Drosophila melanogaster: one gene and its partner. The protein of the gene in region 1 interacts with the protein of each later gene in a pairwise test. Each region holds a gene or a part of one and is shown in the gene's direction. Other genes may lie near its edges.

Region 1 (4,974 bases):
ACTCGAGGGGCCAAAAACTTTTGGCCAGCAATTGAGAACTGAACTCAACTGGCCAACATGCCAATGCGATCCGATTACAAACATTGCTTTATAAGTGCACGGCTATTCTTGTTGTTATTTAGGTAATTCTGGTATTTCCACACTCACACATACGACACTTACAATGCCCGTCAATATGGTAGTTTCCAATTTTGTTACATTTTGCCAGAGAATAACTAATTAACATGGTACATTTAAAGCGTACGTCTTTAAAATTTGGGAATTTCATGGTCTAGAACTAATATAATCAATGTGTATCACGTTAAAGATGAAAAATAGGACAAAATAATAGCAAAGCGTATCCAATTTATACATTTAAAAATGAATCAAACAGCACCTCTTTAGGGTATTAAATTCTTTCAGTTTTTAGGCGATTTTCTATATGCATATTTCTTAATTTCTTAAACGCTGCTATCTCTCTGCCCGCCACTGTGCTTTTGCTGCTGCAGTCGAGAGCGCGCCCAAAAATGCAATTGAGAAAAACCCACGCCATAAACAGAAACCCAAAATAGACAAAGGCATTAAAGCCGATGAAAATCAACAACAACAACAGCAAGTAGACGCAGCGAGATGCCAATGCCGCACAAACACAAACACCTATCTCTATATGGATATGTCCGTACACGAGATGTCTGTGTGTATATATTTTTTACCTGCGCAGTCGCAGCATCTTTGGGTCAATTGCACACTGCGAGAAATCGGCTGCGCCCTGATTAGCAGCGGGCGGTGGAAAAGGCCGAACTAATCGCACTCATGTGGGCGGAATTTCAGATTAGGCATTTGAATATACAAAAAATTCTCGCCCCAGAAGTTAATGACTCTCTATCAGCTGGACGCATTGTTCTTACAAGTCGATTTTCAAATGAACCATTTTAGATATAGGCAAATTCATGCATGTTTATTCAGGCTCAAAAACAAAACCGTTTAAATGGGTGTGCAGGCAATGATATTGACGTGTCAAATAATGATATTCACATTCCGCAGAAACTCCAATTATGATCCTTCAGTGTAATGGGTATTTGTTTTTAGGAGCCTGATTCCAATATCTTGCTAATAAAATATGTGGCTCAGTTTTGACAGAGTTACGATCTGGCGTGGCATAACTGCGATACGGTCGAGATATGGGAGCACCAGCACACCCCTTCGAACGCCCCCTTCGAGTTCCAGCCCACCGCCTACGCCCATGTGGCTGTGTGCCTCGCGTCCTACCTTCCTGCCCAGTGGGACTGGGACTCCATTGCACAGGCAGCACCGCATACCAAATACCAAACAAACATACGAAAAGATCAACAGGCTGCTGCTTTGTTGTTGTTTGCCTTTCGTATACCCTAACAAAAGGTTACTAGCTCTTATATATCTAACGTTATTTCTGCAAATCTCAACTGGGCATATGTGTTTACGGGATATCATGATTTGCCTTGTCTATCATCGCGTTTTGTTATCTGGATTATCCAGTGTTGGGTTTTGTAGATGCGTTAACATAAAGTCACAATTAACACAAATCTTACGTTATCGAATATGAAAATCTGAAACTTCGTACATAAATGTATAATGAGCTTATGAAAGATCATATCAAGTTCGCCTCAAATTGGCAGAGATATAAGCATTCTGTGAGGGTATTCCATGGTTCGTTTGCCGAAACAGTCTCTCCTTTCTTGTTTTTGCTTTATCCAGCAGGTAGAAGAGGCACCGTCTCCTTGCCTCCTGCTCCTAACTCTCCTCCCCCCTCAGTCCGGTTGCATTGCAAAGCGCTCAAATGAAACGCCGACTGAGACGCCGACTGCGACTTGAGACTATGGGTATGGGTATGGGTATGGTATATGGGTATTTGGTATTACCTGAAGTCTGGCTCAGTCGCCGACGATTTTCAGTCCGCTGGCGAACGTTGTTGCGATCACAACGTCTTGGCTATCAGTTCTCCGTCTCTTTGCTGCCCAGATTCAGATTCTCAGTTCTCCGTTCTCAATTCTCCAGCTCAGATTCTTCGCCGGCGTGCGTGTGTGTGTGTGTAGTGTTGTGAGCGTGTGCAGTGGAGCCCGTGTCAGTGTGTTAGTGCTGGCCCGTTGCTAAAATTATTATTTTTTTTAACGAACGTTGGCTTTTTTTTTGCTGTGCCTTCCAAACTGGTTGCTGCTCTTTTAACTGTGTATTTGTGCAGCAGCAGTAGCAGTTCAAGAAGAAGCGGCAGAATCTAGCTGCGGAAGAAGAAGACGTCGAAGACGCTAGAGATCACGAAACGAAAGAAAAATAATAGCAACTGTAGTTGTTGTTTTCTTCTCGGGGATTTTCGTTGGATAAATCCCGTATCATAGCCCCAAAATAGCTGAGATTTCGAAACAGATCCGGAATAAAACACCAGCATGCCCTGCTCGGCCGTAACCCTATCTATAGCGACGATCTGCGCGATCATCGCCACCGCCCTGCTGGCGATCGCCTTCTCCACGGATAATTGGCTGCACTACGATGTCTGGCGCAACCAGATACAGGTGAGTCTTCAATCTGCAGTCTACAGTGTCTTTAGTCTTCAGTGCCAGAGAAGGTGGGGGCTACGAATCGAATTAACCCAAGGCCCATCCGCTTGGAATACATAATCAGCTAAGGCCAGAGCCAGCGCCACCGAAATATACGGTGCATCTGCGACTGCGTGGCAGAAGCCACAGCCAGAGACAGAGTTACAACCAAAGCCGAAGACTCTCCCGCTTAAGACGGAGCTTTAGCTCCGCTTACGAGCTCTGCACATTGGTCCCAGAGATGTGGCTAAAGTAGATCCAGGCTGGGATTAGGCAATAGCTTAAGAAATCGGAAAAGATCGGGTTCAAAGTCGTGCAAGACAACGATATAATGGTACGATACAATGGAAATATTTAAAATGGGTAGGGAAATTGAAAATATCCTAATTTAGGCCCTACTTATACAATAGATATTAGTTGTTGAAAATAACTTGCTAGAGTTTAGGACTTCGTCTTCTGGAAAGTATAGCAGAGTACTATATTATATTATTAAATATATTTTGAAAATAAGTGGCTTCATTTCACAAATGCCATTGGAAGCATAGTAAATAAATACGATAAGGATTAAAGTTTTCATACTTAATTAATATTAAAACCGGAACGAATATCTCCATAATTTCCAAGGAATTAAGCCCGTTCGACTATGTCCAGAGAATAATGTGTATTATATTTTACTAATAATAGTAGGAGACATTTAGTTCTACAAACATCTTTGCATATCTTTTAAAATCCGTCCTCTTCCGAGAATCTTATCTATAGCGATGCTTAGATAAACAAGATATGTAATTAAGATGCACTTGCTGACATTTGTGCACTGCATACAGGTGTGCGCGGCCCACTGTGCGGAGTAGGAGGGCGAGAAAAAAGAAGCAGGAGGAGGAGTAGGTGAAAAGGGAGGAGAGGAGCGGAGAGGCAACCACGAAGGCAACAGCAACAAACGGAGGTAACAGTAACAGTCGCTCGTTTTGTGCTTGGCCGAAAGAAAAAGAAAAAGGGCAAGGCGGAGAAGAAGAAAGGTCGAAAGCAAATACACGAACAACTGGCATTGGAAGGAGGTGGGTAGGGAAGAAGGGAGGGAGTGGTGCGGTGTTGATCGAGAGGGGCCTGTGGAGGATGGGCAACGGCCGTTAACGTTCAAACTTTCTACGCGAGCGCTTAGCCAAGCGAAAAAACGAAGAAGAGCCCAGGCAGAAGAGGCCGCAGAAAAAGAAGAAAGGGGCGGTGAAGTGGAAGGAGTACACAATTTTACAGTTTGCATTGCAAATACAGTCAAACTGCGGATTACAACACTTCCCATTCTTCCAAGTAATCTAATTTTCAATTTTATGTTGGTTACTTCACTATTTATGAAATACAACTAGCTAACTGAAATCTCAGTTATAATCCGCCTCTTAAAGGGCCGAAAGCAATCGCAGCATATGTGTGTTTTAATTTCTTTCAAATAAGCAGCAGTTTGTCTTAATGAAGTGGCACTGTAGAAAATCCAACTCCGTCTTGTAGGTGCAGCCGAGAGAATTTTAGATGCGGAGAGCTCTATAGAAATAGGTGTAAAATCGCGGCGGTGTGCGTGCGCATACCAATCATACCAAAACAAGTTAGCTAAACAAAAAAAAAAACAATAAAAAACAAAGCTGAAGAAGAGGAAGAAAAGCACTCAAAGTGTGCTGAAAATATTTGCACGTTTTTCGACTTTGTCGCCTAATCCGAAAGTTTCAATGGAATCGAGGGAACGATAATTGCGGTGAGATTCGTTCGAATCTCGCCCAGCGTCGAAGTCTTCAGAGCCTGGGCACTTATAAAGCCATTAGAAGCAATCGTCTGCCTTGACCTCCCCCATTTTGGGTCATCGCTCCCTTCTCCCCATCCACGTTTCTTGTTCCTCCTCCTCCTCCACCTCCATCTCCTCCATCTCCATATCTCCGTTCTCCTTCGATTTCCGCCCCTGTAAGAGCCTTTGAAGAACCGCTCAGGTGCAGCAGGTAACTCGAGATGGGCTACTTGGCCACAGGAAACCCTAGGGTCCTATGAAGTGCATCCCCAGGGGAGTGGAGAACTAAATACCCACAGCGATTATGAGCGCTACTCAAAGAATGGGAATCCGGGGGAGTCAGTCGAGGGAATCATGATGATGGTGTCAGAATATCATCACTTCCAACCTTTCTTTAGCTAATTACAGATGTTTTCTTCGAAAGAAGTCAAATGGAAACTATTATGGTGGAAAAGGAAGCTCTGTGTTGTTACTTTCCTTTAAATACCCCTATATCTTATATTATCTTTAATTGTATGTCTTGTTGGTATATGTACATTAGATTGCATACTGTTTAGAGTTTAATTCTTCCTTTTCTTAGCCTGCAGGCTGCCCTTTTCCTTGAATTTTCCAGATCTTCGCCCTGACCACTAGCTTCACCATCTACTTCTTGATTTC
Region 2 (3,097 bases), on another chromosome or scaffold:
TAGAAAATATGGTTATTGTACAAATTATTAAGGATGTTTTGGTAATCCAGACTCTTTTCTTTACAATTAAATTTATTTAAAAACACTTTTTCGATTTTACCAACCTTTAGAGATCAGATTGAAAATGTTGTAAGTGTACAAAAGAATGAGCATATTTTGATTATCCGGACGACTTTCTTCCCGTTACAAGCCAATTTACAAATGCTGAATATGAATATATATATACATATAGTCCGGATCAATATGAGAATGCAGTAGCTTGCTAATAACCTAAGTATATGCTAAGATGTGTAATTTACAAATCTAATTGTTAATGTTACTCGTGTGTATGCAGATTACTACTAACATTCGACTAGACGGCATCTTTTTTTCCTAGCTAGCTTAAATAGAAAACCACGAACGAACATTAATGGCCATTAATTTGCTCACTCTACGAAATTCGTATAAACAGTACTTGAGATATTTTCTACTTGCGCTTAATAAAACAAACAAAACCTAAGCCAGTCGAGATTGTTTGGGTGGGGAGACCGTTTGGCATCCGTCCGACATGATCAGTCTAAATCGAGCAGCGATCAGAGGAGCATGGCGAGATCAGGGCGCAGTTCGAGGTTTCTTATCGGCGGCAGCACTTGCTGTTCGATGCTTCTGGGTCTTATCTGTCTGGTGAGTCGGTGAGTCGGCAGTGGATTAGATAAGGAACTTATTGATTTTCCTCTCGATTGCCAGGCTCTGGCGGACTCATCCCAAGTGAAAGAACGCAGCCCTACCATCTTGGTGAGAAATACAATTCAAGCGGTGGAGAGGCTCTTCAATCAGGTGCTCTACACGACCATCGAAGATGCCCGCCAACGACTACCGGGTCTTCCGGCCAACGAAACCATCGATCGGCAGTACTTCGAGGAGCTCGACCTGGTTGCTGGGAACGAGGACTATTACAGCACTGCATTCTATATCTTCGCCTGGATAAACAGCGACCTCATGTACCATAAGACTCCCGATAAGTTGCTCGTCGAGGTTCTTCCCGGCGAGAAGATCGCCATCCGCAGATTCTTCGCCAAGGTCAAGCCGCATCTTACCAAGTATCTGCGACTCAGTCGACAGGACAGGTCGGAATTGGTTTCCAACGTCACCCAGTTGGCCACCGAAACCAAGGACAGTCTGATCACAACCTTCTTGGAGTTTCCCCAGAACCTGAAGAGCCAACTTCCTGAGCTCCAGCTAATGGACTACACCAAATTGGCTCAGGCTTTGGTGCAGGGGGTGGCCAGTGGTATATGGACGAAGGCTTAAGATTAATAGCTAAATATTTAAACAATATCATAGAATTAGAAAGTGTTTGTAATAAAATGAGAAATGTACTTCAAAGAACAATATTCGGAATCTATTTATACGAGGACTTTATTCCTGAAAAATGCCGTTTAACTTCCGGAAAATTTCCGACTGTCTGATCAACATGTGTAGATATCGAGAACTGATACTTTAAAGCAATAAAGATATTATCGTGACTTGGAACTATATACGACTTTGTAATAACAAAATGCATGGTTTCCACTACCCACTAATTAATATACGAAGGGGCAGCACTCGTTCTTATCACGCTCACCGATTTCTGAAGTCTGATTACAGTCTATACGTTGTCTCACGATCAGTGGGTATTCATTACAGAGGAGGCGTTCTCCCATTTTGTATAAAAATTGTGAATTTAAGAGAGGGAATATAAAAGGAATCAGTTCGATAGAGACTAGATACAGTTTCAAATCATGGCCAGCAGACTAACTTGGACTTTTCTAGTCGCTGTAGCTGCCCTCCAGCTTTCGGTAAGATCCTTAGATTTGCTTATATCCTTTTGGAATCAACAGAAACCTTTAACTTTCAGCTTGCAGCGCCTCTCATTAACAAATGGCAGTTACAATTCGAAGTGTCCAATGAACTCTTTCAAATGGTAACAGACGCCATGGAACAGCTACGACATGTCTTTCAATTGGTCATCGACGAGGCCGAACTCATTTTACCACCAAACTCCAAGGGACACATTCTCAGGGAGCTTAAGGACTTCGTCGCGGCCTTGGACACCCTGGACTTCGATGATTCATTCGAGCTGAACAGACTGGAGGATGCTCTTGAGGAACTGGAAAGCATCATTTCGATTGCAGGCAGCAAAGAATTCGAATCGGAAGCTGACGAGGTTGTCGTTCAGCTATTCATACAGCACGGAGTTGAGGACCTGGAGCAGATCCTGGAAAGAAACTTGGAAACTACTCTGAAAATCGTAGAGCAGAAGGTGGAGAAATACATGAGCACATGGTCCGACAGTCGGTTGGCCAGGAACGCGGCGATGGTCAAGCAGTTTAATGACTTTAAGAACGAAAAGGATGTCTATGAGAAGCTGGACAAGTTAACCAACTCTGATTTCATTTGAATAAACATATCATGTTTCAAGTACATTTAAGTTTAAACCAAATAACTACAGATACATAGTCCGAACGTATATATTATTTCCAGAAACTGCCTTGCAAATATCAAAACCAGTAGTCCAGAGTTCATGTTTTGTATTAGCACGCTCGCCGGAAGCTAAAATTTGATTACATATTGCAGCTGATTTAACAATCAATGAGCATATAATAAATACGCTAGTAAGTGTTTACTACTTAGTGCAGGTATGACGTAAGAAATGTGGAATTCATTTTACAAAGGTATTGAATACCTTAATATACCTTTTTTAGATTTGTAAGCTGTCAGGTTTCAATAGCTTTGAAAGTTTTACTGACTTTCTATTCAATACAATTGTTATTTAGTCTGATAAATAAACCGTGCGGAAAGTAAAATAACTGATTATTTGTAATGCCAAGAATCTTTACATTACACACAGACAAGTCAGTATAATCTCTAGCAGCCTTAACTAGTTGTTTTTGAGAACTCGGAACTTTCATTCATCAGCTTCTCTTAGGAAAGGTGTTAAAAGTTGCGATAAGATGATCCAAATCCATCCCGCGAGTCGAACACATCCCGCTCGATTTGGGGAGGTCCTCTTCCATCCGATGTGTAGCTATAGGATTCGCTCCGGTAAAAGTTGTTAGAAGAGCCCCCGGAACCAAGG

Evidence for each region. Proteins that work in one complex are often made in the same cells at the same time.
Region 2: the proteins of CG6398 (region 1) and OS9 interact in a two-hybrid assay, tested with the Drosophila melanogaster proteins (one large-scale study listed by BioGRID).

The regions. Positions count from the first base shown.
Region 1 is NC_004354.4:17,828,922-17,833,895, forward strand, and holds the start of CG6398 (uncharacterized protein), read left to right. Parts: upstream 1-1,906; 5' UTR 1,907-2,399; coding exon 2,400-2,525; intron 2,526-4,974.
Region 2 is NT_033779.5:19,965,140-19,968,236, reverse strand, and holds OS9 (Olfactory-specific 9), read left to right. Parts: upstream 1-1,726; 5' UTR 1,727-1,760; coding exon 1,761-1,817; intron 1,818-1,876; coding exon 1,877-2,419; 3' UTR 2,420-2,573; downstream 2,574-3,097. Other genes in the region: Hf (helical factor), read left to right, coding at 583-663, 727-1,290; CG10680 (uncharacterized protein), read right to left, coding at 2,956-3,097.